Coturnix japonica: one gene and its partners. The protein of the gene in region 1 interacts with the protein of each later gene in a pairwise test. Links are inferred from orthologs where the notes say so. Each region holds a gene or a part of one and is shown in the gene's direction. Other genes may lie near its edges. The genes, in order: PTPN11, RPIA, GAB2, IGF1R, TRIM32 and TLK1.

Evidence for each region.
Region 2: the proteins of PTPN11 (region 1) and RPIA interact in binary tests that used the Homo sapiens proteins (3 or more experiments, as listed by UniProt). The two-hybrid records come from large-scale screens. The link is inferred for Coturnix japonica from reciprocal best matches to the Homo sapiens genes PTPN11 and RPIA.
Region 3: the proteins of PTPN11 (region 1) and GAB2 interact in binary tests that used the Homo sapiens proteins (3 or more experiments, as listed by UniProt). The link is inferred for Coturnix japonica from reciprocal best matches to the Homo sapiens genes PTPN11 and GAB2.
Region 4: the proteins of PTPN11 (region 1) and IGF1R interact in binary tests that used the Homo sapiens proteins (3 or more experiments, as listed by UniProt). The link is inferred for Coturnix japonica from reciprocal best matches to the Homo sapiens genes PTPN11 and IGF1R.
Region 5: the proteins of PTPN11 (region 1) and TRIM32 interact in binary tests that used the Homo sapiens proteins (3 or more experiments, as listed by UniProt). The link is inferred for Coturnix japonica from reciprocal best matches to the Homo sapiens genes PTPN11 and TRIM32.
Region 6: the proteins of PTPN11 (region 1) and TLK1 interact in binary tests that used the Homo sapiens proteins (3 or more experiments, as listed by UniProt). The link is inferred for Coturnix japonica from reciprocal best matches to the Homo sapiens genes PTPN11 and TLK1.

What each region holds. Positions count from the first base shown.
Region 1 is NC_029530.1:5,554,468-5,558,991, forward strand, and holds part of PTPN11 (tyrosine-protein phosphatase non-receptor type 11), read left to right. Parts: intron 1-911; coding exon 912-1,043; intron 1,044-1,760; coding exon 1,761-1,915; intron 1,916-2,335; coding exon 2,336-2,403; intron 2,404-2,785; coding exon 2,786-2,937; intron 2,938-4,524. UniProt on the Homo sapiens protein: Acts downstream of various receptor and cytoplasmic protein tyrosine kinases to participate in the signal transduction from the cell surface to the nucleus. Positively regulates MAPK signal transduction pathway. Dephosphorylates GAB1, ARHGAP35 and EGFR.
Region 2 is NC_029519.1:78,027,878-78,033,029, forward strand, and holds the end of RPIA (ribose-5-phosphate isomerase), read left to right. Parts: coding exon 1-35; intron 36-1,180; coding exon 1,181-1,280; intron 1,281-3,058; coding exon 3,059-3,156; 3' UTR 3,157-4,314; downstream 4,315-5,152. UniProt on the Homo sapiens protein: Catalyzes the reversible conversion of ribose-5-phosphate to ribulose 5-phosphate and participates in the first step of the non-oxidative branch of the pentose phosphate pathway.
Region 3 is NC_029516.1:172,537,733-172,542,256, forward strand, and holds part of GAB2 (GRB2-associated-binding protein 2), read left to right. Parts: coding exon 1-97; intron 98-1,105; coding exon 1,106-1,196; intron 1,197-2,970; coding exon 2,971-3,073; intron 3,074-3,389; coding exon of another isoform or gene 3,390-3,413; exon of another isoform or gene 3,414-3,663; intron 3,664-3,669; coding exon 3,670-3,795; intron 3,796-4,115; coding exon 4,116-4,259; 3' UTR 4,260-4,524. UniProt on the Homo sapiens protein: Adapter protein which acts downstream of several membrane receptors including cytokine, antigen, hormone, cell matrix and growth factor receptors to regulate multiple signaling pathways.
Region 4 is NC_029525.1:15,114,764-15,119,287, reverse strand, and holds part of IGF1R (insulin-like growth factor 1 receptor), read left to right. Parts: coding exon 1-155; intron 156-1,029; coding exon of another isoform or gene 1,030-1,032; coding exon 1,033-1,135; intron 1,136-2,465; coding exon 2,466-2,536; intron 2,537-3,022; coding exon 3,023-3,252; intron 3,253-3,538; coding exon 3,539-3,649; intron 3,650-4,524. UniProt on the Homo sapiens protein: Receptor tyrosine kinase which mediates actions of insulin-like growth factor 1 (IGF1). Binds IGF1 with high affinity and IGF2 and insulin (INS) with a lower affinity. The activated IGF1R is involved in cell growth and survival control.
Region 5 is NC_029532.1:2,234,041-2,239,251, forward strand, and holds the start of TRIM32 (E3 ubiquitin-protein ligase TRIM32), read left to right. Parts: upstream 1-1,703; 5' UTR 1,704-1,803; intron 1,804-3,039; exon of another isoform or gene 3,040-3,158; intron 3,159-4,010; 5' UTR 4,011-4,078; coding exon 4,079-5,211. UniProt on the Homo sapiens protein: E3 ubiquitin ligase that plays a role in various biological processes including neural stem cell differentiation, innate immunity, inflammatory resonse and autophagy.
Region 6 is NC_029522.1:16,222,407-16,226,397, forward strand, and holds the end of TLK1 (serine/threonine-protein kinase tousled-like 1), read left to right. Parts: intron 1-1,202; coding exon 1,203-1,379; 3' UTR 1,380-2,954; downstream 2,955-3,991. UniProt on the Homo sapiens protein: Rapidly and transiently inhibited by phosphorylation following the generation of DNA double-stranded breaks during S-phase. This is cell cycle checkpoint and ATM-pathway dependent and appears to regulate processes involved in chromatin assembly.

The sequences.
Region 1 (4,524 bases):
GCAAAGCATCTTATGCTGTATCTTTTATTGGCAGAAGAAGCTTCCCTTGTTCCCATATATTCTTGTAAATCTGCACTAGGTGCTGTTAATAAGAAATATTTTTCTATGGTATTTGGTGCTTGGTCTGTTTGCTGTTGCTGGAAGCTGCATCTGTCTTCCCCACTATATTTCTCATCTAATTTTGTGTTAGCCTTCACGAGGCTAACAGGAGCTGTTGTTGCAGGAACCAAATTAAAGAAGTAATAGGTTAAGCCACCCTTCAGTGTGTAGAATACATCCCTGGCCAAAGATAACCTTGAGAGAGAAGCAGCATGCTGAAAGCTCTAAATGTCGAAGCCTACAGATGCATCAGGCCGTCTGTCAAAGGGAGCAGTTCTGTGTTGCTTTGGTGATTGAATTAGAGCTATGTTAGCCCGTTTTTTCCCTGATTCTAAGCAATGAAAAAGCGAATGTCCAAGCTGCATTCCTGTTAAAAATGATTTATATCTTTGACTTGCGTTTGTTTTGCAGCCTGTTAGGTATTGATTTTAGAGCAGCATATGGAGCTGCAGCATTCCCCTGAAAATTCTTCGTATTTTGAAACAAATAGTTGGGTGGAGGTATAGGTAACTGCATTTCAATCCCAGGGCTTTGCAACTATGAGGCAAAACTGGTACTAAAATCATGAAAGCTGCTGAAAGGAGAGATTGCATGTACCACTTTTCCTGAAATAATTCCTTATTTGAGATATAGAAAAGAAACTTTCCCTTCACACATACTTTAATGTGTCATTTGATGTTGTCCAGTTGGTGCTGGTGTTGTCTTAGATGTTCTCAGAAATGAAAACTTCAGGAAAGTGCTCAGCGGTTCACAAAGCAGCCTTCTTGTGGATTACTCTTTAAAGTCTTGTTTGTTTGCTTTGAATCTTGCAGAGTAAGTGTGTCAAGTACTGGCCTGATGAATATTCCTTAAAGGAGTATGGTGTTATGCGTGTGAGGAACGTTAAGGAGAGCGCAGCACATGACTACACGCTAAGAGAACTTAAGCTTTCTAAAGTTGGGCAAGTAAGTATGTTAGTAGCTCTGTCCTTTTAATCTAGGTTGCAAGTAAAAAAAAATGCAGATTCTTCTTTCTGCAGAATCAATAAAAGCACTAAAAGATGAATAAATTGAGCCTTGACTCTTTCTTTGAAGTTCCAGCTTTAGCTCCATGCATCTTTCCCTTTGTCCTTGGGCTAATTGAAGATTCTTATACCTGAGCACTTTTTTGTTTTGGCAGAAGATGCATGACTGCAGAGCTTTGAGGAAGTCTGGAAAGAAGCATGAAAGTGCTTTTAAGTAATCATACTTTAGTCTAGCTAAGCATTTATCTGCCCTTTCGTGGAGGTGGTTGTACTAGAAGGAACTGTTGTATGGGAGTCCAGAATCTAGAAAGAGCTCTTAAGTGAAGACATGTAAAATGAGGAAGGAAGCAGTGAATTTGTGTGGGAACAGCACTTTGTTGTTAAGAAACAGAGCTTTTCCTTACCTTCTAAAGGTGAGACAGAAATATTGGAAATCGCTAAATGAGACAAAGAGGGAACAGTGGGAGCAGGTAGTGTGATTGACTTGTCAGGCCAAGAAAAACTCTTTCCTTCTTTAACTGAGCTGTAGTGCCACAGATATTGAGTAGAAGGGTTGGGTACACTGCCTTCTGATCTGACTCAACTTTGCTGAAGTAATGCTCTTAGTTGAATTTTGATCAGAAGGATTTTTTTTCACATGTTGATGTCTTCCTTCTAGGGGAACACAGAGAGAACAGTCTGGCAATATCATTTCAGAACTTGGCCTGATCATGGAGTCCCAAGTGATCCTGGTGGTGTACTGGACTTTCTCGAGGAGGTGCACCATAAGCAAGAAAGCATTTCTGATGCAGGACCAGTTGTGGTCCACTGCAGGTACAGTGATGCAGAATGCTTCTGCTTCTCTGGAGGTCTGTTGGCTTCTTTTTTTTACATCTATTGATGTATTGCTTGGGATCATGGGAATACTAGTCTACCATCCCACCTCCTGTAAGATATCACTCCTCATTTTTAATGTCTGAATTTTTGTTTTCAATAAGGCAAGGAAACATTTGATCTTTTAGTTCTGTCTGATCCAAGGTTGTTAATAAACACTAAGATACAGAAAATGCTGTTGTGACTTCTGCCTACTTCTGTCTCTCTGAAAATATAGGCCTCTGTTTTCTTTTGTCTGTGTAGTTTGGTTTGGCTTTACCTGGAAACTGGAAATCTAATGCTGCTTAGTGTTGTACTCTTAACTTAGGTTAGTGTTCTAGTGCCTTCTCACAGCAAAATTATCATTGTTCTTTTCCACAGTGCTGGGATTGGACGAACAGGAACTTTCATTGTGATTGATATTCTTATTGACATAATCAGAGAAAAAGGTAGGTGTCCTCAGCCTTTTGTTTTCTGCTGGGACATTGACATAGGTCACAGAAGCATTACAGTAGAAACAATAGAAATGTTGACAGAGGATTCTAGTATTGTTTTAGAGTGAGTACTTGTTTAGCATAAAAGGGACTCTGTCATTCTTCTTAGTTGGAATCAAAGTGCTGAAATCCTGCTCTAGGTCAGGATGATGAAAACTTTCAGCTGAGGATTAGCCAGGAATCTGTGTTATTTTTCTTAATATTTGTATTTAATTATTTGTTTAAATCTTTCATGAGTATGTGGCTGTCAGTCTGTTCATTGTATATAGAGGAGACCAATCTCTCCAAAAGCAAAGTTTACTTTGCTTCTAACCTCATGGTTATTTTTACTTCACAGGTGTGGACTGTGATATTGATGTTCCCAAGACCATTCAGATGGTGAGATCACAGCGGTCAGGAATGGTTCAAACAGAAGCACAGTACAGATTTATTTACATGGCAGTGCAGCACTACATTGAAACGCTACAGCGCAGGATTGAAGAGGAACAGGTATATTCATCTGAAGTGTAAATTATGTAGGAATATGTTATCACTGGAGCAGGGAGCAGAGTTGCTCATTTGCTGCTTGTGACTTGGAGACTTGACTGCCAATATGGCAATGAAATTTGAGTGTTAGGTTATGTGGAATGAAGTATATTGATCTGAAGGATTGTAAAGCATGTGATGAAAAAGCTTGGGATGTGAGGACAGTTGCAAGACACCCCTCCACACTTCTTTCTGTTCAGGTACCATCTAATTCTACCATCTTGTACAGAAGATGCATGGTTTTGTGATAAAGAACTAACTTTCTGTCCACTATTGCTTTCATTCTCTATTTTTCTGGTCATCTGGGACTTATCTTTTTCAGAATTTCAGTATCTTCTGCTGCCTTGTTGCTCAGGAGATAAACTCACGCAGATCATCAGGCAGATGTGGAAAGCCGTATGTTCATTGTTAGTTCAGTGCCAGTTGTGAGATTTAAGCCCTATTTTAGAGGTAGGGTGTGCCAGCTCAGTCTTGGCACTCTCGTGTGGCTTCTGGCTTCTTTGGAGTGTGACAGAACTTGTTTTATATTTGCCAGCATCATGTAGATGCACCGTTCAACAGAGGATGGAGTCTTTATTCTTTTCCCCAGGATGCCTGTTGTGTGCTTTGATGCTGATTAGACTCAAAGAGAAGAACATGAAATCCCTCAGGTGTACTTTTTTTCTGGCTTGCTTGTTTCACTTCACTTTAGAGCTTCCTCACATCTGTGTGTGATTGCACAAGCCTTGTATCCTCAGCTTTTGAATATAGTCTCTTTCTGCTGCCACCATTTATAAAGTAGATCTGTAACTTCTTGATTGCTGTAATGTGGTTTTGAATTATACTTTGGTATTGAGAGGAACAGTGCATTTCTCTTACAGTGATCAGTTGTTTCATCCTTTACTGTGTTACTAGCTCAAGAGGCGTGAGAATAAAAGTTTCTTGAAGTTGCAATAGAGCATTGCTTTACATCATGAATTCTTGAACCTAAAGGCTGGTGGCAGATGCAGGAATAAAGCACAATAATACTTTTCAGATAAAAGCAACACTTTGAGTATAGGAAGTAACATCCTGGAGGAAAAAATAAAGATATGATATAATGTAGCACTTACAGCTGTGCTGAAGCAATGGGTATGGACACATAGCTGCATCCATTCACATAGACATGAGTTCTTTGTATTCAGAGAAAAAATTCCCTGGATTCTCTGCTAGCATTCCCTTCTGCATTGCAGTGCTGAGAGCCTCAGGAGTTCCTAGACTTAAATGTTGTGTTGGATATTGCCTGTCATCCTATGAGTGTGGGAAAAGGGAATCTGGATTTGTTTTGCTATGTTTTTCCTGCAGAGATGTGTGTAGTCTTTCACATCTAAGAGACAAGTTGTTTCTGTTGCATTTCTATTATTATGAATTAGGATCATTACAGTGAATCGAGCTGAAAGAAGAGAAGCCAGAAAGATACTTAATCTTGGTTTTTCTATTTAAGTAATAGAAGAACTGATTGATTGCTTTTAATTGCTTTCACAGTACAGAATATCTGCACCTCAAGCTGCTATTCATTATGCAATTTAAAAA
Region 2 (5,152 bases), on another chromosome or scaffold:
GTGCTGCAGAGCTGCGGATGGCTGTTAGCAAAGCAGTAAGTGTCCCTCATCCCTCCGTGCCCAACAGAGCCACCTGAGTGTAGCCAAGAGGAAGATCTTCCATCTGATTGAATCTGGTTCCTTTAATTGTACTTAATGAACTGTGTGTGTTTAGGTGTTGGGGTTGCTTGTGTAAGCCTTATGTCTCCCAGATCAAGCAGCCCTGAACAGTGAAAAGAGGGGTGGATGTTCCAGTCTGAGGGCTGCTCTGTGTCTCTTCTTGGCCACAAACAATCTGCTGCATGCCACACAGAGCAAGAGTGGACTAAAAACTGAACCTGCTTTGTCTCCACTGTCCTATCCTGGCTTGAACAGTGTGGACTGACCAATGCATATCATATGGTAAAGGAGGAGAGGACTATTTCCAGTTGCAGCTGGAGCTAACACCTGAAGGCTGAACACTTTTAATATGTTTAATCCCCTGGCCCAAGAGGCTGAGGAGGTATATATAGGAGCCTGAGAAGAGAAAGCCAGTTGTCTCCCATGAACTCAAGACCAGCCTTGCTTGGGAAATGTAGATCCCAATGCTCCAGCATGAGATGTGTCCTTGGAGGATTCTGTCTCATTCAGTGGTCTTATCCCTGGTCTTTCCTGCCATGTGTGGGTTACAACCCCTGCTCAGGGTTGCTGAAATGCCTTATTCTCAGCCTGAGCTGTCTCATTCTTGTTGAAAGGACAAAACTTTGGGGCTTGAGAGGGTGCTGGGTACATCTGAGACACCAAAGGCCGTCAGTCCTTCAGCTCCAAAACCTCCCTATGGCATGCAGTAGCAGCCCACCCTTATTACAGGGGTGCAAGAGTCTTGTTTTGGCTTCAGTTGCATATAGTTGTCTGTTGAATACATTCCTCTAGCTCTGCTCTTGTGAAAAGGATCCTCTATCCCAGTGATGAAATCATATCATTTTTTTCCAGCTTTTCTGTGATTATCTGTGAACTCTAGGCAGAAGAACGAGGAAGGCGCAGCTGCCTTGGGCAGTGGTTTGACTTACAGGGTTAATGTTTGTATGGGGAAGTGGACTGTGCCCTTATTTACTCAAACAATGACCTTCCCTACACTGTTGCAGCAGGGATGGCTCCCGTTGTAAGGCTGTGCTTGGTACAACAGGAGCTTGTGGTGCTGACATATAGATTTGCTTCCCAGGGCCCGGTGGTGACAGACAATGGGAACTTCATCCTGGACTGGAAGTTTGACAAGGTTCACGAGTGGAGCGAAGTGAACACTGCCATAAAAATGATACCAGGTAATGTCTGTGATGTTAAAAGCCAAAAACTGGCTAAGACTTGGTCTGTACTACAAATCCCTGACCCTGGGAGCTTGGCTAGAAGCATGAGACCTGCTATCCAGACCAGAGCTGTTTCTGGATCGTTAAGGTCTGCCCAAGGGTGATGACACTTCATCAAAGCAACATACAAAAGCAACATACAAAAGCTTGCTCAGCCCCATCAAGATATCTTGGCTGGATATTTTGGTGAAAGTCTACTCTTGAATCCAGTTACCTTTTGAGTGCATCTTATGTATTTTGAGTTAATTCCAGATAGCTGTCTGTGCACAGCAGAGCTACCATTGGTTTCACTGCTCTTTGTGTCTTACCAGAGCACATAGGAACAGGTTGGGATCCTGTAGCACAAACTTCCGTGCCTGCACGAAGTAGCACCATGATTAGAATACATTAGGCAGACGCCACAGGTTTCGGTGAAGTGAAGTGTCCCTGGTTACTTCAAGCTGCTTCTGTTTGTTAGCTTTGCTTCCCTCAGTGCTTATTAGAAGGCTGATTTGCTGAAAACACACCCATTTCCTTTTCCCTGGATCTAGGAGCAAACTGCTGGTGTGCTTCCTCTCCCTTGGCTTGTCCTGATGTCTTTGCAGTCTGAATAATTACCTGGCACTTGCTCACAGCTGACAGTAGATGGCAGGTTAAGATCTTTGGCAAGAGCTGATCTAAACAAACCAGTGTCTGATATAAATAGACTGGTGGGTGCTGCTAGTCTGGGCTGTCCTTGGTGCACTTCTCTGTACCCTAATGCAGCTGTAGTCCATGGCAATACAAATATGTGCTTTATTAGAGTTCTTTCTATGCACAAGAGAAACAGCGGCTGGTTCTGCAGAAACAAAACACAGTGTCTTTTTCATGGGCTCCTTGCATCCCTCAGCCAAGAGGGATGAAAGGGAAATAGACAGGTTGGAGATGGTTTCAGAATACCATAGTTTAACCATGAGCTCAGAAAAGAGCCAGCTAAGGGGAAAAGAGCATCTTCCCTACCCAGAAGTGGAAGAGCAGGATTGTTAAAGCCTGGATATACTGGTGGTAGGAGGACTCTGTGCACTTTGCACACTATTTTTTTCAGCCTTTTTGGAGTGTGTTCATCTGGTAGGGATTGGATTTGGAGCTTGGCTGTGCAAGCAACCAATATGAGTGCTTACATACAGTTCCTGGATTGCAGCAGGAGTTGTTGGTGAAATGAGGGCTTGCCCAGCAGACTTGGTGCTGGCTCTGAGTGTTGGTGGCCTCTGCCCCTGAGGGCCTTGGCAAGCTGAGTGCCATGTGTGTCAGCAAGCAGCCACCTGAAAGGACTGAGGGCTGCAGAGCTGTGCATCACTGTGAACTGCCAGCATTAGAGTTGTATGAGGATTTCATGTGCCTCAAAATAGAGGTAATGACATCCCCAGGCTGTTTTTTTCCTCTGTGTAAGGAAAGACCAACTGCATGAGCAAAACTTTGATGCTCTTCTTTTTTTTTCTCCCTCTTCTTTGGTCTCTGGCTTCAAATCCATCTTGCCTTTAACTCCTCTTAATGTGATTAACTTCTCATGGGCTTTTCTGCAGCCCTGGAGGTTTCATACAAACCCATGTGTCTGGCTCATGTCTTCCATCTGCTTGGTTTCGAAGCTCTTAGCCTTCATGGTTGCAGTATTGGCCGTATTGAACCTCATTAGGTTTACACGGGCCCACTTCTCCAGCCTCTCCAGGTCCCTCTGGATGGCTTAACTGGCTAATTGGCTCATGAACTCTTGTTCCCAGGTGTGGTGGAGACGGGGCTGTTCATCGACATGGCGGAGGTGGTGTATTTTGGCATGGAGGACGGCTCGGTCAGTGTGCGGGAGAAGCAGCCTCGCTGATGGTGGCAGTTCTGCCTGCTCTGCTTTGCCTTCAGCCAGTTTGATTCAGCTGTCGTAACGGTGCCAACCTGACGTTATGCCTTAATGAGCAGCGGTTATCACAGCAGGTGGGTGGGGAGTTGATCAGAACCCGCTGATATGATACCGAATGTCTTTTTTTTAAAAAAAAACAAAACAAAACAGCAAAAAAAAAAGTTCTATTTCCAGATATATAGAGATATATTTTTACTTTACAAGAATGTTGTCCTTTTTTTAACGAATCAGTTAAAAATGAATTGCTTTAATGTTTTTATTTTATTTTCTAAGGAATGTTGACCAAAAAAATAAATAAAAGAATACTTTTTTGGATTCTTTTATTGGTTCTTTTTGTTCGTTTTGTTTCATTTTTCCTTTTTTTTTTTTTTTTTTGAACTGAACTTGAACCCTCCTGGTCACTCGTAGTGCTCCATGATTGATACTATGATCCTAATAAATCATCCTTAGCCGACCTGGCTGGGAGGATGATGATGTGCATAATGGGAGCACGCATCCAGTTGGGACCTACCGATGCCTTATTTGGAACCTTTTTGGTTCAGTATTTTATGCCTTTTATTTTTCTATACCACTGTTTTTTAATAGTTCGGGACGTCTAGTTAATCCTCAGTGCACATGACAAATCTCTGAGCCTAGGGACATTGTGCTTTCTGCATCCCTGTGTCTGGGACGTGAACAGGGGCCTTCTGGGGGCCTCTGTGGAAGAGATGTTCATCTTTTGAGCCAAATTCTGTCCTACAACTGCACTGTACCTCTGATTAAAGTCTGTTCCAGTAGCTGGAGATGTTCAGGATTTCATCCTTGTATAATGAGAGCAGAACTGGGCACTTGATGAAGTTTACAAGAAGCACATCTGAGCATTTTAGGGCAGTGTTCAGTGACAAATTGTTTGGTTTGCAATGAAGGTTAATTGTCACCTCTCACAGCTGGTTGATTAGTAGAAGGATAGAGTGGAATGCAAAGGAAAACCGAGTCTTCCTGCCTAAATTGACCATATGTAGCAGGAGATAGACACTCGTTCAGTATACCGTTCTCTGTGTATAGGTGCTTTGCATGATTCCAGTGTCAAAATGCAAGCCCTCTTTTTGTGTTATAGACATTGAAATAAAGAGCTGTTACAACAGGTGTGGTGGTAATTTCATTCTTAAGGTAACTGTTTTGGGAACGACACAAAATACTTGCTGAGAGTAACTTGTGCTCTGGCTCCATTAAAAGGTTCTGTCTGCATTTTCCCTTCATGTGGGCGCTTCATCCAGACCCTTTTGCATTTGATTTCTTTTTCCTTAAGGTAAATACACTACGTTACTTTAAATTAACCAGATTCTCTTAACCATCACTTGTCAGTTGCAGCACTTGTTATGCACCTGTCTTAAATCTGCATGTCTGAAACCTGCGTGTGTAAGCCATTTTTTGCCTTTCTTTACATTTTGCCTTTCCTGCCCATCCATCCTGTTAATTCGGAAGCTCTTCGTACTGACCAACCTGGCTACCATCCAACCAACAACTTGCTGGAAGTGCTGAAGTTTCTCTTCTTGCAAATCTGATGCTGCTGAAGCTGTTCACAAAATCACGACTCCGTCTGGATTGCCACGGGCTGTTTTCTGATAGTGTTGGGCTCCTAATGCAATCCTACATAAACAGAGAGCAATCAAGCAAAACTTTGTGAGGAAGCTTCTTCTCACACAGCACGCTTCTGAAAATGAGATTAGCAGGAGGAGTGTTGCTGTTGACTCTCTGAAGTCAGACAGCCCCTTCTCAAAAAGCCAATGAAACCATTACAGCACTATTTCTTTCTGGCCTCGGACCAAATATGATCTCATTCAGCTCTGTGCTTAGCAGGGGCTCGTTAAATCTAAGCCTGAACGCAGCAGGTCTAATTCTTCAGCTTCTCCGGGTGCTTAAGATGCTTGTGGCACAGCCCAGTACTTCTGTGACAGCTTTCTCTGCTGGGGGATCTTCGAGC
Region 3 (4,524 bases), on another chromosome or scaffold:
CCCATGCATAAAGGAGGGGCCATGGCCCAGTGCCACAGGCGGCTGAGTGAGATCCAGCCCCCACCAGTCAACCGCAACCTCAAACCCGATCGGAAAGGTAAGAATGGGTGTTTGTGGGCAAAGCTTTCCCAGAACCCTTCTGGCTACATCTGTCTTTTTGTGCATGCTCAACAGAGTCCTGAGTGAGGTCTTGGTTGCTACCAGCAGCACAGTCAGACCCTCAGATCTCCCCCTTCCCCATTCCATTCCTCTTTCAAGAGGACTATGGTGCAATGAAGCTCAAAATACCCATCTTGCACCATTCCTGGCCTTTAAGGGAGATGTACATGTCAAGCACAACCCTTTTGCTGGCAGCTCTTTCTGCATTCCATCCCAAAACCTTTGGGTGGTGGTACAGTTACCGTCCCTGGAGGTGTACAAGACCATTTAGATGTGTCATTTAGGGACATGGCTAGTGAGCAATATTGGTGGTAGGCAGACAGTTGGACTAGACAATCTTAGAGGTCTTTTCTAACCTTCATGGTTCGATGACTGTATTCAGATCACTCGGATTTCTCCTGCTGTTTCCTACTGACTGGTTCCCAGCAGCTTTTCCCTCAGGGTTTTTCTTACACCCATATCACCACCTTGACTCCTGCTCAACCAATTCAGGGAATTTTGGTCACAGCTCAGGAGGGCTCCCACCATTAGGATGTCAGCACCTAACTTAATCAGCACACTAGATGAGGGCTGGGTTTGCAGCAGAGAATTCTTCTCTTCCACATAATAAACTACCCATGATGAGAAAAGCTTTCAGGTTACTCTGTAGATTTCCTTTTTGAATCAATCTGAGCAAGTGCTCTAGCCAGAAGTTGATCAGTGCTGGTGTTTTCTAGCTCTGCTGAGGCATCAGGACTCCCTTATTGGAGCCATCCATCCAGCTCTGGGCTGTGAGTCAGAGGGAGAAACTGACCTTTTCTCCCTGTCTCAGCATAAATGACAGAAGAGATCTTTGATTTATCATCAGCAAGGAGGGCTAATGTGCAAAATGGGAAGCAACAAGTTAAATTTAGGAGACTATCCCCTCTCATGTTGGTTATGATCTGAATAAACACTTTTATCCCAGCAAAGCCATCACCGCTGGACCTGAGGAACAACACTGTCATCGATGAGCTTCCCTTCAAATCTCCAGTGACAAAATCCTGGTCCAGACCAAGGTGAGTAATGGTTGGGTATGATGCATACTCAAATTTCCCCAAAAGATGGGTGATCTCTTCCATCTTGATTTTTCCTTTGTAGATTTTAGAAACAGTAGCTGCAGAACTGGGTCACAGATTGAAAATATACAAGCAGCTGTACTGAGCTGAAAGTCCACTTTGCACAACATCTTCATCCATCAGGGATCAGTTGGAGCTATCTGGGAAGAGGATTAGAATTGGGAATGTATTGAGTAATTATTTCCTAATATCTCCTGCCACACCAGCTGTTTTGGGGCTGAGGAATTTCTTTGGTCACATCATGGCCAAACTTTGGATCTGGGTCAGATGATATTGAAGAAGAGGACCATCTCTCTTGGATTCCTTGTGAGCTCTGTCCAAGTGCTGGGAGAGCCAGAGCCACATCCCCCACATCACAGCCAGTGACTGGAAGATAAATGGGTTTAGATTAGGATTTCACATGAAAGCCCAGTATGTGGCTGAGCAGTTAATTAAGATCCCTTGGAAGCATTTCCTATTTGGGGATCTGACATTGCCACAGAGCTGTGGCTCTGATACAAGACCTGGAGTCCTTCATGACTTGTGGTGTGGCTGAGTGACCCCCAGCTCAACTGCAGTCAGGGCATAGTACCAATTTCATATCCAGCTCATCCCCAGAAGTGCTGCTTTAGTCTAAAAATGCAGGGTGAGACGCACAGGGTTTGACTCAGTTGTGTTTTGATTGCCTTGAAAGCAAAGCCTAGCCTGGAGGAAGTCTGCAAAATGAAACCAAAGCACTTCATAGCAAAGTCTGCCAGCCAAAAATAACAGGATTCATGCAGCTCCAGTTCTGCTGCTAATTCGCAGTCTGATCTTGTCCAATGAAAGGAAGAAGCCAGGTTTGGCTGTTATGACTCTTGTAATAAATTGGATTGTGTGGAGACTGACTGCAGGGCATGAGCGCTGTGTGCTGAAATCACTGCACCAGGAAACAGCACACAGACTTTGACTGACATGATGCCTGACCCCGTGGAAGCTAATGGATTTTTCCCTTAACAGTTAATCACATGAACCTGCCTTTACAGCAAAGAAACAAATAGCTCTTTAAGACACAGGCTTCAATGCCAGATGCTGATTGCATTATGTTATTCTCCATAATTGGATCTGGCCAATTGAAAACAAGGCGACGCCTTGCAGATTTTTTTCAATCAGAAAATTCAGATAGGGCCCTGTATGGTTCCAAAGCCTGGAGCTGAAAAGGGCCTGGAGATGAGAAGCCTGCTGGGGACCTCCATGGAGGCTGTCTCTGCATCCTCCCCAATGAAATGCTTCCTGTGAGATGAAAGAGTTTATGGATCCTGATTTATGCAGCTGATTCAGAGTTATGGATATGCTCAGAGACGTACTGGATGCCCCATCCTTGGAGACATCCAAGGTCAGGCTGGATGGGATTTGAGCATCTGATGGAGCTGTAGTTGTCCCTGTTTGTTACAGGGGAGTTGGACCAGATGGCCTTTAATGTTCCTTTCCAACTCAAACGATACTGTGATTCTATAATTCTGTGGTACAGTAAGCAAGGTGTTATTTTAAAAGTACTAGGAAGGGAAAAAACAATAAGATGAAACCCACTGTTTAGTTAACCCATGGGATGGACAGATTGGAAGACTCCCAATACCATCAGCTCTTCTCCATCACCCACCATGAGCACTGGAAGAGATCAGGTGCAGCTCTCTTCCATCTCTCCCCAGCCATGTACCCACAGCCATCATTAACATCTTGAACCTTGTCCTTTCAGCCACACCTTCAACGCCGGCTCTTTGCAATACTGTCGACCTGTCTCCTCCCAGAGCATCACCAGCACTGACTCAGGAGACAGTGAAGAGAACTACGTGGCGATGGTAAGGGCCCCCTGGTAGGATACATGGTCCTGGTAGGACGTGTACGTTCCCCAGTGCTGCAGACGCATTCCTGGCTCATGACATGGAAGCACCACAATGATTCCAATAGCGTCATGATGGATGTCGTGTGCATCATTGTGTAATCCCCACATGCACAAAACAGTGGCTTTTGTTCCTGGTATAATACATCCTACTGGGGTTTTAACTCCATATGAGAGCTTGAACACACATTACTTATTTCACAAGGAATTAAGAGGGAATAAAAACATCCAGGGCGTATTTTCCTAATTAAGTTCTTTTTTTTTTTTTTTTTCAGGGCTTTTTTCCCCCACTGACATAATGTTTGTGCGGAGGGCAGGGGCTATCAGAGCACAGCAGGGAGTGGCACTGCTTACAGGGAGGGGCTTTGTCTCTCTTAGCAAAGCTGCTGACTTGAAGCATATTTTTAAGGCTGCGTAACTGAGGGGGCTGAGGAGATGGGTGCACTGCATAGCACAGTTGTGTTGAGCAGAGATCCCGGCACTGTGTTCACTGAGGATTCACTATTTCTTCCCATTTTAATGCTCGTTATCTCTCCTGTCTCTTCCCTGCATTAGCAAAACCCCATTTCTGCTTCTCCTGTTCCTAGTGGCACCAACAGCCCAGCGCCTAAAAAGAGTTCGGGTAGTGTGGATTATCTTGCCCTGGACTTCCAGCCAAGCTCACCAGGGCCACACAGAAAGGTACTGGGGATTTGATAAACTTCTGATTAAAAGCAATGATAAGATTTTTCCGTGTGTCTGTAAGAATTCTTGAGATCTTACAAGAAAATGAGCAAGATGCGACTCGTGCTCCAGAGCTGGTGAGAAGGCAGAGACCTGGGTGCTGGTTTAACCCTCCCATCACACTGTGGTCTCATGCAAGAAAGCTGCAGAAGAGACCAAAATCTTTCACCCGATACCGTTCAGGAGGTCAGAGGGAGGGTGATGAACTGTAAGGGAGGATGGGAGTCGATGGCTGCTGATGGATAACCAGCTGGTGGCTGTCTTTCTCCTCCCCACAGCCCTCCACCTCATCAGCTGCCTCAGATGAGAAGGTTGACTATGTGCAAGTGGACAAGGAGAAGACACAGGCGCTGCAGAGCACCATGCAGGAGTGGACTGATGTGCGGCAGTCCTCAGAAGCCACCAAGAGCACCAAGCAATAGCGGCAGGGCAGACACCTAACAGGCAAATGTCCCAGGGGTTCTCCCAGCTTGGGGCCCTACCAGACTTCCAGCTCCATTTGGACTGGATTTCTCTAAAACTGCTGTCTGTGTGGAGGGGAAGGGTTCTTTATTATCATTTTCTTTTAAGACAAAAGGAACTTAATTGCAGAGGAAGACTTGGCAGATACTGTTTGCCAGTGATAAAGGTCAACTGTATTTGTTGGCTGGGTTTGTGCTTTAGCTGCTGAATGCACCATCCAGGAAC
Region 4 (4,524 bases), on another chromosome or scaffold:
ACGAGAATGTGTTTCAAGACAGGAATACAAGAAGCTTGGAGGGGCGAAGCTGACTCATCTGAACCCTGGAAATTATTCTGCTAGAGTTCAGGCCACATCATTGGCTGGAAATGGATCTTGGACTGAGCCAGTCTCTTTCTATGTACAACCCAAATGTAAGACCAGTATTGCTTGGCTGTGTCAAACTGGGGACTTGCCTTTTTGAATAGTCCTAAGGTTTACATTACTGTGAATACTCCTGCCTGTTGATGCACACTGCTGCCACTCCCTTTGATGTCCACCTTATAGCCCAGTGTAATGTTAGGAGTTAAATACTGGAGCTGAATGGTGCAGAACCTGTGATAATCACCTACTTTGAGTTACAAAGTGATGTAAGAACCAGTGATTTGCTAAGAATATGGCCTGGCAGATTTTATTTAACTCAGTATGATTTTTTGTACTTTAGAATTGATGTTAGGAATGTTGTGATAAAGACTGATGAAAGAGGGATACTGCCCCTGAGAATGGCAGCGATTCAGGTTTTGGAATAGCTCTGTACAGGGTACACAGAGACCATCTCGGGAACATCTGTGTTTAGCTGAAAATCAGCTGTGTCCACAGAAAGTCAGCCTCCATCTTTTATTCATTCTTGTTTTTCTAATTGTCGGAATCTGATGAACCAACGTGAATATCTTCTGAAGTACGAGCAATGGCAAGGTGAACAAAAGGTGGTGGAAAATAAAGGTTGATATACAAGTGAACAGCTCAGTATTGTTCACTAAGGAATGTAAGTCTTCAAGCATAACATGTGAAACCAAACTCCTGACAGACGCTGTTCTGTACAAAGCTGAGGCTTTTCACTCTCTGTTCTCTTATTCCACTCATCTGCAGTCAGGGCGTGTTTCTGAGTACATTTTTCCACATCAGACAAGAAAATGAGTACTTTGATTTCTCCCATGTATGGAAATATACTGAGTGGGTTTTGAATGTTTCTTTGTTAATGGAGATTTTATAGAAACCTTAATACAATTGTTTTCTTGTTGGTTGCAGCAGCAAACTATGACAACTTCCTCCATTTGATAATTGTGCTCCCCATTGCTTTCCTGCTCATCATTGGGGGTTTGCTGATAATGCTGTATGTCTTTAACAAGAAGAGGTGAGTTACACTTGTGGTTAAAGCCAAACTGTAGGAAGGGAATGCTTATTTTCAAATCTGTGTCTGTGGAGCAAGTTAGAAAATAAGAAGTGAAATAGCTTTCAGAGTACTTGAGAAGCTAAAGTGGATTCTGCCTTGTTGGTGTGTAGAAGGAGGTGGTGTAGAGTTACCAGCCATTATCTGCCTGCTGCTTGGGATTCAAAGGGGCTTTTTATTACAGGATCGTGTTTGAAAGGGCAGAAGAAGGGTTGTCAGGAACTGGGACAGTGATGGCAGATGCTGAACCTTTATAATCAGGTGCTTTGAAATGCAGGTTGCTCTGTAAACTTCACTCACATGAGATTAATTTGGTTTCTTGCAGATTCTGAAGTTGTTTTATTTTTCAGTTCCTTCCATACACATACAAATATTTATATGCTGGACAGAACACTCAATTGATTTGATTTCCTTAGTATTGTACTTTAATAACTAGGGATTTTTTTTTAATGTAATTGAAATACATAATGAGAACTTAGCAGAAGTCAGTGCAAATGTTCAGTCTTGCAACTTTTTAAGCATGCAGGCTTTTGTTACACATACTTTTAAATTATGCCCATTGAGTGTCCCAGCTCTCATCCCTTTGTGTGCACGCTGTCATCCCAGTTCCCAAGCACTACAGAAACGGCTTTGCCTCTAGTGAAGTGAGGTACCTGCTGGCCTTCCCATGTCCTTTTCAGAGTGGAGCAACTGATACCCCATCCTTCTTTAAGCTGTTGTTCTAGCACACAAAAATGTTTTCTTTGGTTTTCTGAGGTCTGATTATTAATTTTATTTGTACAGCTTTGCCCCCTGCAAGAACTCCTACAACTCTCAATAAACGTCTTATTCTGAAAATCACACCAGGAAAGTAAAATAATAGAAGCAATTTATAAAGTAGTGGAACAGAAACCCGAATGAAAAAAAACACCTTGTTCTTTGCTAGCTCACTTCTGCCTCACAGTAAAAAGCAGGTGATGTTAAAGCCATACGTCTCCTGGGTGTATCAGTGCACAGCTGCCTTTCTTAAAGGAAGTTTGCCTAGCAGCTGAAAGTACCGTGTGTTTACACTTCTCTGTACCACATCAGCAGCAGAGAAGACTGCAGGTTTCTTGGGAAAAATGTTCTGAGCTGTTTTCCCACTGATTATGTGAAGTAGAATAAGAACGTGATTTGTCTTCTTTCTCTGAAAAGCTCTCCACCTACAGTAAATACTTCGTGATTGAGCAAACAGTGGAAAAGCTGTAGAATAGGCAGTCTGCAATTACTTGAGCTCAAAGATTAAAAAAGAAAAAAAAATAATGTATTTCAACAGGAACAGTGACAGACTGGGCAACGGAGTGCTGTATGCGTCTGTGAACCCTGAGTACTTCAGTGCTTCGGACGGTAAGTGTGGGCTGAGCCTCTGTGCTCTCAGTTCTGTGTGCTCTGTTTGTGTCTGGTTTGGGAAGGTATGAAACACTGACAAAGGGATGTGGTAAAACCTCTTTCTCTTCATTGTATCTGCACACCCATAGTTAATTAATAGGCAGTTGTATGTGAATGTTGTCTGCCTATTGAAAGCGGGGAGTTTCTGAAGTTTTTCCTGTAGTTTATTCAGCTGAGATTAACTTGGGTGGGTTTCCTGAATTACCCTGGTTGTGAGCAGTAGGTTTCTTATTTTTTATCCCATTCTGCCAGTCCCTTTGCATTCTTTTAAGGTTCCTTTTAAGATGTATTTGTGTGCTAAGTATCATTTTTACATGCATGATTCAGGGTCGTAAAATGATGTCCAGCTTTGCTTACAGTAAAGTTGTTCAGACAGTTGATATCATAAAGCAATCCCAGTAGTTAGGAAAACAGAATGTGATGGCATGTTCTCTCTCTGCTTAGTGTACGTTCCAGATGAATGGGAGGTGCCCCGCGAGAAGATCACGATGTGCCGGGAGCTTGGGCAAGGCTCCTTTGGGATGGTGTATGAGGGAATAGCCAAGGGAGTGGTGAAGGATGAGCCGGAGACCCGGGTGGCCATCAAAACGGTCAATGAGTCTGCAAGCATGCGTGAGAGAATAGAGTTCTTAAACGAGGCCTCTGTGATGAAGGAGTTCAATTGTCACCATGTGGTAAGTCTTGAACCTGTAACGAGATGGACTGATAAGGCCGTGGTGCTTTAACAGCAGGAGGGTGTTCGGGGCATGTCCTCACTGGCTGAAGGGGTGCTTGGGTTTTAGCTTCAACTCATAAGCATTAGAATACTGCTGTTCAGCAGGAGTCAGAGAGAAAGCAAGTCTGCTTCCAGACATTTCCTACTGTTTCATGGGTGTCTGGGGCTATGTATCACATGAATAAATGCTTACTGCAGTTCAGTTAGTGGGATCTGTAGCTGAGCGTTTGTTTTTCCTCTTCCAGGTTCGCCTGCTAGGTGTTGTTTCTCAGGGCCAGCCTACCCTAGTTATCATGGAGCTGATGACACGTGGGGACCTCAAAAGTTATCTGAGATCATTGAGGCCAGACACAGAGGTGAGTCATGACTTGTTTTATTATTATTTCTTCACTCAAAATCATCTTGAGCAAAAAGGCATCATGTCAGAAGCAGCAGGCAATTAGCCTTTCTTGCCCTTGTCCTTAAGCTCTAAGAACAAAACACGCTGCCCTGTGATCTGCACCACCTTTTTTTTATGAGTTAGTTACTGCAAATAGCCCAGTGTGATGCCTGGAATAGGCCCTGTCTTGTGGTACCAATTCCGTTTTCCACATCTGAATTAGATCCCTTGTCTAGCCTAATTCTTGTCAAGATGTTGAAAAGATTGGCTTGTTGAAGCATACACGTTAGGATAATTGTTTCATGCTCTACATCCTGCCTGTTGCCTCTATTGGAAAATAATTACAAATAAGACCTGTCTATTTAAAAAATCAGTGTGCTTGCTAATACACGTATGAACTTCAACATGTAGGCCATCAGCGTAACAGCTAAAATTGCCCCCTATGATGTAGGGTCTGAAAGATGACACTGAGCATTGAAAACATAGTTGACTTTGTAGAGAATGAGCCCAGTGGTTGTCTTTTGCCATTGGTGAAATGATCTAGAATTTCTGATGTGAGTAGTTCACAGGAACAGAATGTGAGCACATGGTTATGTGCAACAGAAAATGTATGTGGTATAAATGGAGAACATGGAACGTATCAGATTGCTGAAGTGACTGGATACAGAAAACATCCACGCTGAATAAACTGTTTAAGCTCTTCAGGTGTAAGAAACAACACCATTATACTAAAAAGTCTTTCTTGTTTGTTTTCCCTATGGTAGCATGGCCCATGGCCTACTGCAAAAGGACTGTATGGGAGTTCTGTCTGTAGACCAGCCTGTTATGCCCATTTTTCCCTCCAAGCGGGTG
Region 5 (5,211 bases), on another chromosome or scaffold:
TCAGATGGGAGAAGAGAGGCCAGATAGAAAGGTCAGAGGGATGGGGAGGAGGAGGGAAGAGGCAGGAGGAAAATGACTGATTATATGATTAATGACTTTGCTCATCAGTCCTGTGTGATAGAACCACCCTCCTCTATTTCCAGGCATGAACAGCATAGAGGGATGGATCTGAGCACACACACATGCTGTGAGCAAGTTAAAACCTATAGAGCAAGGAGATGGTGGCAGGAGCTGCATCCAAGCTGGTTCTACCCTTCCTTGTGTTTGGGAAGGGTTACATGACATGACAGCAGGGTGCAGCCCCTCATGGTGGCCCTATAGGCCTTTATGGCATCCTGTAGCCCATCATGATGACCCTATAGGCCTTTATGGCATCCCATAGCCCCTCATGGCGGCCCTATAGGACCTTATGGCATCCTGTAGCCCATCACGGTGGCCCTATAGGCCTTTATGGCAGCCTGTAGCCCATCATGGTGGCCCTATAGGACCTTATGGCATCCTGTAGCCCATCACGGTGGCCCTATAGGCCTTTATGGCGTCCTGTAGCCCCTCATGGTGGCCCTATAGGACCTTATGGCATCCTGTAGCCCCTCATGGTGGCCCGATAGGAACTTATGGCATCCTGCAGCCCCTCATGGTGGCCCTATAGGACCTTATGGCATCCTGTAGCCCATCATGGTGGCCCTATAGGCCTTTATGGCATCCTGTAGCCCCTCATGGTGGCGCCTATGGCCTTTTATGGGCATCCTGTAGCCCCTCTATGGTGCGCCCTATAGGCCTTTATGGCCATCCTGTAGACCCCTCTGGTGGCCCCCCCCCCCCCCACTATAGGCCTTTATGGCATCCTGAGCCCCCTATGGTGCTCCCCATAGACCTTTATGGCATCCTGCAGGCCGCCTCATGGGTGGCACCTGATAGGCCCTGTATGGCATCTGTAGCCCCTCATGGTGCGCCCTATAGGACCGTCGTATGGCATCCTGTAGCCCCCATCATGTGGCCCATATAGGAACTTATATGGCATTACCTCGTAGACCCTCATGGTGCCTAGTAGGCCCTTATGCATCCGCAGCCGCCCCTCATGGTGGCCCTATAGGCCCTTATGCGCATCCTGCTAGCCCCTCCATGCCGTGGTCCTATAGGCCTTATGGCATCCTGTGCCCCTCATGCGTGGCCCTATAAGGCCTTTATGGCAGTCTGCACCGCTCCATGGTTGGCCCTATAGCAGCCCTTATGCGCATCCTGTAGCCCCCTCATGGTGGGCCCTTACAGGACCTTTATGGCATCCTGTAGCCCATCATTTGGTGGCCCTATAGGCCTTTAATGGGGGCCATCCTGTAGCCCCTCATGGTGGCCCTATAGGCCTTTATGGCATCCTGTAGCCCCTCATGGTGGCCCTATAGGCCTTTATGGCATCCTGCAGCCCCTCATGGTGGCCCTATAGGCCTTTAAGGCATCCTGTAACCACTCATGGTGGCCCTATAGGCCTTTAAGGCATCCTGTTGCCCATCATGATGACCCTATAGGCCTTTAAGGCATCCTGTAACCCCTCATGGTGGCCCTATAGGCCCTTATGGCATCCTGCAGCCCCTCATGGTGGCCCTATAGGCCCTTATGGCATCCTGCAGCCCCTCATGGTGGCCCTACAGGCCTTTATGGCCCCTCCCCCCCATTAACCCGCTGTGTGTGCGCAGGCGGCCCTTCAGGACTCCACCTCCCAGCGCTCCGTGCGCCGCGCAGCACCACGTCATCGGCGGCGCTGGGTATGACGGGCAGCGGCTGCGCGGCCCGGGGAGCGGCGAGCAGGTAAAGGGAAGGAGCGGAGCCGGGGCCCCGCCGTGAGTGGCGCCCCCTGCAGGCGGGGCGGGTGGGCGGGCGGTTACACACAGCAACGGGGCCGACCCAGCGGGACCGGGATGGAGCGGGAGGGAGGCGGCGCTCCCAAAGCGCTGCGGGGCCGTGAGCAGGGCCAGGCCTCGGTTCGGCCTCTGGTTCACTGTTTTATGTGTGGGAACAACGGCCCGATGTGGGGTATAACCGAGGGAGGGAGAGCGCTGCGGGGATAACGGCATGGCAGAGATGAGCGCTTGCATGCGGTTGTGCCTATTAAAAGAGCATCACACAAAGCGACCTTCAGACCGAACCTGAGTTAAAAGCAAAGGGAAGCCCATCTAAATGGAAATACGCCTTCTGACCGCAGCTTTTATCTGTAAACCTCGTTGTTGTCCATCCATCAGAGCTGAGGTGCTGCTCAGCAGGAGAGGAGAGGAGAGGAGAGGAGAGGGAAAAGGAAGGGAAAGGGAAAGGAAGGGAAAGGAAGGGAAGGGAAGGAAAAAGGGAAAGGAAAGGAAAGGAAAGGAAAGGAAAGGAAAGGAAAGGAAAGGAAAGGAAAGGGAGGGAAAGGGAAAGTAAAGGAAAAGTAAAAGAAAGGAAAGGAAAAGGAAAAGAAAGAAAAGGAAAGGAAAAGGAAAGGAAGGGAAAGGGAAAGAAAGGGAAAGAGAAAGGGAAAGGAAAGCTGTGTCCCCACTTTGGGGTCAGCACCCAGCCTGGGACCCCACCATTGGAGATCCCACATTGCCCATCCCTGCAACGTGGGGCTAAAAAGACCTCACAGCCGATAAATACAGATCTCCTTTTAATTCCTCCCCCCCCTCTCTCTATGTATGAATATAAAGAACCTCTCTCCGTTCCAGCTGTCTCCTTCCACTCGAGCAAACGCTGAACTGAAATACACTGAACCTTTCTGTCTGAAATGCTCCTGAGGGCAAAGCAGGCGATCGCAGCAGGGAAGCCAAAGTGCTGCGTGCATGCAGCCATTATTGGGAAGAAAGCTTTCTGCTCGCATCCCTCTGTGCCCGGCTCTTCATTTTAAAGACCAACCACTTCCTTCTCCTCCTCTCCCCCTAGAAGAAATGTTTTCTCCCCGTTTCTTTTTTAACGGCTAAGCAATGCGATAGCAGAGGTATTGAAACTCGGTCCGCTGAATAATAACTTAATGATGTGAACCCTGTTCTGTTCCTTTTGAATGGATGGCTGCTTTAGCGAGGGAGCTGCTGGGATCTGCTCCCCGCTGCGCGGGATGTGAGGATGAAGAAACCTGGGCTGAAGTTGAATGGCAACCACGGCGGTACAACAAAACTGAACCAAAACACAGGAATGAAGTCAGTGCTACAAGAGTATAGAATACAGAGAAATTATATGCAATTAAGCTAAGTTCAGGACCTAAGAGAGAACACGTGCAGTCTGTATTATCAAGCATTTGGAGTTGTCTGGTAGCTCTGTTTCTGCTAATACTTGATAGAATGCTGCTGCATCAAGCTGTATTTATTTGCATGATGCAGCATGGCAGAGGTTAATGAAGTACACTGGCTTAAAGACATCGGCGCATGTTTCCACTATAAACAGTCAATCACAGAAGGAGTGGAAACCGACAAATCATTCCTTCTAGGATTACCTCCTGGCAAACACATGAAACCTTGAAAATTTATTTTGGCTTTCTAGAAAAGCAGTTTTAAACCATGAACATTTATTTTGCTCATGTCTGATGTCTTATCTGAATGCAGGTCTCCAGAGGTGATATATTAATGTCCTAAAGCGTTGCACCATCTGGTTCCTCTTTTGATGCGCAACATTTGAACGCTTGGTTTAATCTCTCTGGATTTCAGAGTAAATTATGTAAACTCACAGGCTTGGCAGCAGGAGATGGGCACCATGAGGAGATGATTCAGTCATCAATATATATTGGGCTTCCTTATTGCTGCCATTACACTTCTTTCAGTTCTCCTTATAAATTTTGCAAGCGAATAATTCATTGCACTAGAAGCTGCAGGTTAGTTTTAGGATTTGCCCACTCTGAGATCAGCGATGATAAATCTACCCTTCTCACATGTGGAAAAGCCAACTGGGTTTCTGTTTTCCAGGTCTGGGAGATAAATCAGAAATAAACTGCATGTATATGTAACTGCTGGTGATGACATAAATCACATTTTCTTTTTTTTTTTCTTTCTGGACAGAATTGGAGCACCTTAGAATACATGCGAGTACCAGATTCTGCACTGGGTAAAGCTGCCTGTGGAAAGCCATGGCTTCTGCTCCTCAACTCAACTCGGATGCGCTCCGAGAGGTCCTGGAGTGCCCCATTTGCATGGAGTCCTTTACTGAGGAGCACCTGAGACCCAAGCTCTTACACTGCGGGCACACCATCTGCAAACAGTGCTTGGAGAAGCTCCTAGCAACCAGCATTAATGGGATACGCTGCCCTTTTTGCAGCAAAATCACTCGGATCAAAACCTTAGCTCAGCTGACTGACAATCTTACTGTACTGAAGATCATAGACACCACAGGGCTGGGGGAAGTGGTTGGTCTCCTCATGTGCAAAGTCTGTGGGAGAAGATTGCCAAGACACTTCTGCAAGAGTTGTGGCTTGGTGTTATGTGAGCCGTGCAAGGAGACATCACACGTGCCCCAAGGGCATAATGTCATTGCTATCAAAGAGGCTGCTGAAGAGCGTAGAAGGGAATTTGGGACAAGGCTTGCCAGACTTCGGGAGCTCATGGATGATTTGCAGAAAAGAAAAGCATCTCTGGAGGGTGTTTCGAGTGACCTGCAATCTAGATACAGAGCAGTTCTGCAAGATTACAGCAAAGAAGAACGCAAGATCCAGGAAGAACTGGCCAGGTCACGCAAGTTCTTCACCACCTCTTTGTCTGAAGTGGAGAAGGTAAATAATCAGGTAATGGAGGAACAAGCTTATCTGCTGAACTTAGCAGAAGTGCAGATATTGTCTCGCTGTGATTATTTCCTTGCCAAAATAAAGCAAGGAGATATTGCTCTCTTGGAGGAGGCAGCAGATGAGGAAGAACCAGAACTGACAAACAGTCTCCCAGGGGAGCTGATACTTCACGAGGTTGAACTCCTTAAAGTGAGCCATGTGGGACCACTGCAGATTGGGCAGGTGGTGAAGAAACCCCGGACTGTTAACTTGGAAGAATCACTCATGGAAACTGCAGCATCCTCATCGGCATCATTTAGAGAGCCTGACTTGATGCAACAAGAAGCCAGCTGCACACCAAATTCCTCCCCAGTCAAACCAAGGATGCCCGAAGCAGCTGCAAGCATCCAACAGTGTCACTTCATCAAGAAGATGGGCTCCAAGGGTAGCCTGCCAGGGATGTTCAATCTGCCCGTCAGCCTCTACGTCACTCTCCAAGGAGA
Region 6 (3,991 bases), on another chromosome or scaffold:
TAATTGTCCTTTGGTACTTGCTACTTCTTCCTGTTTTGTGAAGCATTCTGTGCATTATGGCAGTATTTGCACTACCACAGAAGCGCAAAGTATTCTGCAAACATTTTAGAAACAAACTGTTACTCTGAGAACCTTGCAAACTACGCTTAGCAGCTCATTTCTTAGGGATTCATTATGAATAATTCAATTAAATCCCCAGATGTCCAAGAATGTGTGAATTTATGTTAAGATGTGCGTGCTTTTATTTTGAGACTAGTTCCTGCTGGATATGTATACGCTAGAAGGAAATTTTAGCAGGAATCTTTAGGACTTACATCACAGATTAAATTTTCCTCTAATCTCACGTTTTTAATTTGAGCAAAGGACAAACAATTGAAGAGATTTATCAAGAAAAGATAGGTAATTCTTTTAAGTTCTGGATTAAGTAATGATGTGCTAATGAGTTCTGTAGCAGTAATAAGGATTTTCTATCATTAAATGTTGAAGCCCAAGTTCCCAGGGGACTGAGTGTTCTGTATATATTAGACATGAGACTCAACAGAAATACACATCATGCAATAATTGACAGATATCATGTAGACCTTGATGAAGGACAATACAGTGTCTCAAAAGCTGCCCTGGAGATAAATAGAGATTTTTCCCCTGTTTTTTAAGATATTTTAAGTCAGTTGTAATTCTCTCCTTTCTGAGAGAGAAGTTCAAGCTAGGTGGTGATTTCTTAAATGATGTGTTGGTTAGTGCGTGTTGGAAGTGGCAACTGTCTCTGCATCTTCTGCTCTTCATGTAGTGCACTGCTGGATGGTTTTAGAAGCTCCTTGTAGTTCCTCTCTACTTCCTGAGTCCTCTGACATTTGCTTTTAGCTTTTACTATGCTGCTAAGGAATAACACAAGCAGAATTCTCCCTCTGTGAAATGCTAATGTTTTGCTTGTAAATATAGTTCACACATCTTTTCGTCTGAAGTATGTGTTTGAAGTGTGATTACTCTAAGCCAATTAGGCTTGCTGATTTTTTTTTTTTCTACTGTAACATACTCTTTTCCATTGGAGTCTGTAGTAGAATGTTAGGCTGTCTTTGAATGGAATTATATGAGAACAAGAGTCTGTTTAGAAGCTGGTTTATCTTGGGAGGACATGCTTATTTGCTTGTAAGCAGATGGAATTATTTTGAATGGTATTGTGACTTTTTGCATTCCTCTTCTAGGCCTTTATCAGACGCTGTTTAGCATACCGAAAAGAGGATAGATTTGATGTCCATCAACTGGCTAACGATCCTTACCTTCTTCCTCATATGAGGAGATCAAATTCTTCAGGAAACTTACACATGACTGGGCTAGCAGCATCCCCTACACCACCTACTTCAAGCATTATTTCATACTGAAATTTCTCCAACTGAGGAATGGCATGATACATTTGTGTAGTTTCCTGATGCAGACTTGAGCTTGAGAACATTTGGGTGTTTTTACACAGGACGAGTTTGATAACTGTGTTTTCAGGCTGAAGTCCTCCTACATAGTGTTGTTTGTATGATTGGAATGGGTCATGGACTGTGAATAAATATACACTTCAGAGAACAACCTTAAAACGCTGAAGGATGACACTGCCTGTTGCACACTAGCAGGTATACTGTGTTTAAGACTGAAGAAAAGGTTTTTAGTTTTTTCTGGGGAACATTGTAAATAATCTTTTTAATACTTAAAATACATTTGGTTGATACTGGAAAGTTCTAACATGAAGGGTAGTTTTTCATTATTTAAAATTTTTAAGAAAGGTAGTAAGCAAATTTGAGAACAAGAAAAATTCCGTGTCTGGTTAATAAACTAAATGAACTGCCGTGTTTCCAAGACATTGATCTTCTGAAACCAAAGTAAGAAGTGCAAGACAGTCAAAGCTGTGTTCTACATCAGATTCCTCGATGAAATTATAGTATTTTATTTGGCACTCAGGCTTATACCTCCAAACATGGGGAGTTCTTTCACAGAATTTAGGTTGATAGGGAATTCCTGGTACTTATTTCTCAAATAGGTTGCTAATTTTGAAATAAGCTTAATTTTCTAAATATACTGTACTTGCTGTGGTATTGAAACTTGTGAAAATTTCCAGGCCTCTGATAAAAGCAAACAACAGTGTGAAACCAAATGCAAACAGGTCATGTATAATATTCTATGCAGGAATAATGATAAATTCCCTTCTAGCTCTATTGTAAATTGTTGTACAGATGTCACATTTTCAGTTAAATTTCAGCAACTTATTCCTGTACAAATGTTTAAAGTATGGCTTTTTCTAATTGGATATTGTACTTTTTCTTTAAAGTCTCCCTCAAGGCGCTTTTAATTGCTGCTAAACAATGTTGCTTTTACTTCAGCAAAAGAATCAGATGACCTCCTTAAGGTGCGAGTAAACTGTACGTTATAGAGAGACTGAGTAGGAAACTCATTAACAATCAAGGCATGTAAACCGAGCTGTGTTGGCCATATACAGTACAGTTCCGTAAGTCAATTTATTGCACTCTCAACCTGTAGAGTGCACCAGTACTAGATGTAGAAGTTTCTCATGGCTATTCTCTATTTCTGGAAGTTCCTATCTACAAGGAAATGTTTCTTGTGGCTTGTACAGGTATTTTAAAATGTGAAACATTTTCTAACTGCCTTGTATGGTAGAAACTTATTTTTCAAAACAGCGTATCTCTCTCCAGTTCACTATTCTTTCTACTGTTCCATTCTGGATGCTGAATACTATCTGTAATTTTGTCCATGTTTCAGAGAAAAAGGAGGCTGTTCTTACCACAGGTTTTCATTTAGTATTGTACAGTTAAACTGTTGCTCTTGTTTCTGATGTTGCAAGCCATTTTGTTTTCATTGTATATAAAGAAACATTAACTGTCTCTTTAAGATGCTGCTGAAATTGTAGAGAATGTAGCCAAAACAGTAATAAACAATGACAGTTGAAATTTCAAGGTTTTCATTGTGTGTTTTTGCATTTTAACAAAGGACAAATCTGCTTTCCTTATCACTGAGCTACATTCACCTATCAAAACAAGTTCATTTCGATGGCGAACAGAAGTAATAGAGTAATACATTCAAGCAACGTTAGGGCTGAAAGGGGAGACTTCCATAAAATTTGAAGCATCTGTCACAGTGAAATAACCTATGCATTATTTCAATGAGTAGGCCTCACAGATACAGTTCCAGTTATTTCAGTAGGTTTCTCTATAATTTGTTAGACATAAAAATAGACTCTGATATGTTCTGCCTTTCTGTTATGCCAGAGTTCTAGGACTGCATCCTTTTCACCATATGCCAGTGTGAAACCAAGGTCTGTGGTTCAAGGATTATGCCATGGCTGCATACTCACGTTAGATTTCATTATATCCTATTCTGTGTCTTGGAAGTTACAGACTGTTTTGCCTAAGGAAAAGAGGTAAGACTGCGTTAACTGTTTTTGTGTATCCAGAATGTGTTGTGATAACCTCTAGTACTTTGAAGCTTAGCAATATGTTAGAGAACTGTTAAAGTAACCAAAAATTGTAGAGCTACCTAAAGAAAAGGGGGGTTAGGCATTATAGTGATTCCGAGAGGGCTTGTTTTCCTTGTTGTTAGAATCTGGGAGTACAAGTGGCTGACTACATGACAGTTACTCCACCATGGCAGATGTTTACTTCTGAAATCTAAACGCTTCTTTTTAATGCATTTTCATACAGAAGCAAATGAAGTATCGCTGTCTCATCTTTCGGATCAAAATTGCAAGACCTTAACACAAGTGCAACCCTGTGTACCGGAGGTAAGCATCTTACAGTACTGTCAGTAGAAGTTTTGTATCCCCATGTGGATTCATTCTGTGTTCACAGCACGTCCAAGTTGGTGTCTGATGGCTGATGCTCAGCAATTTGTGCTTGGGATAGAAGTACCCTTGAGACTGAATCCAGAAGCCTGAATTACTGCGACTTGTCAAGGGATGCTGATCACTTCTAGGTAATTCATACATCCATTGCTT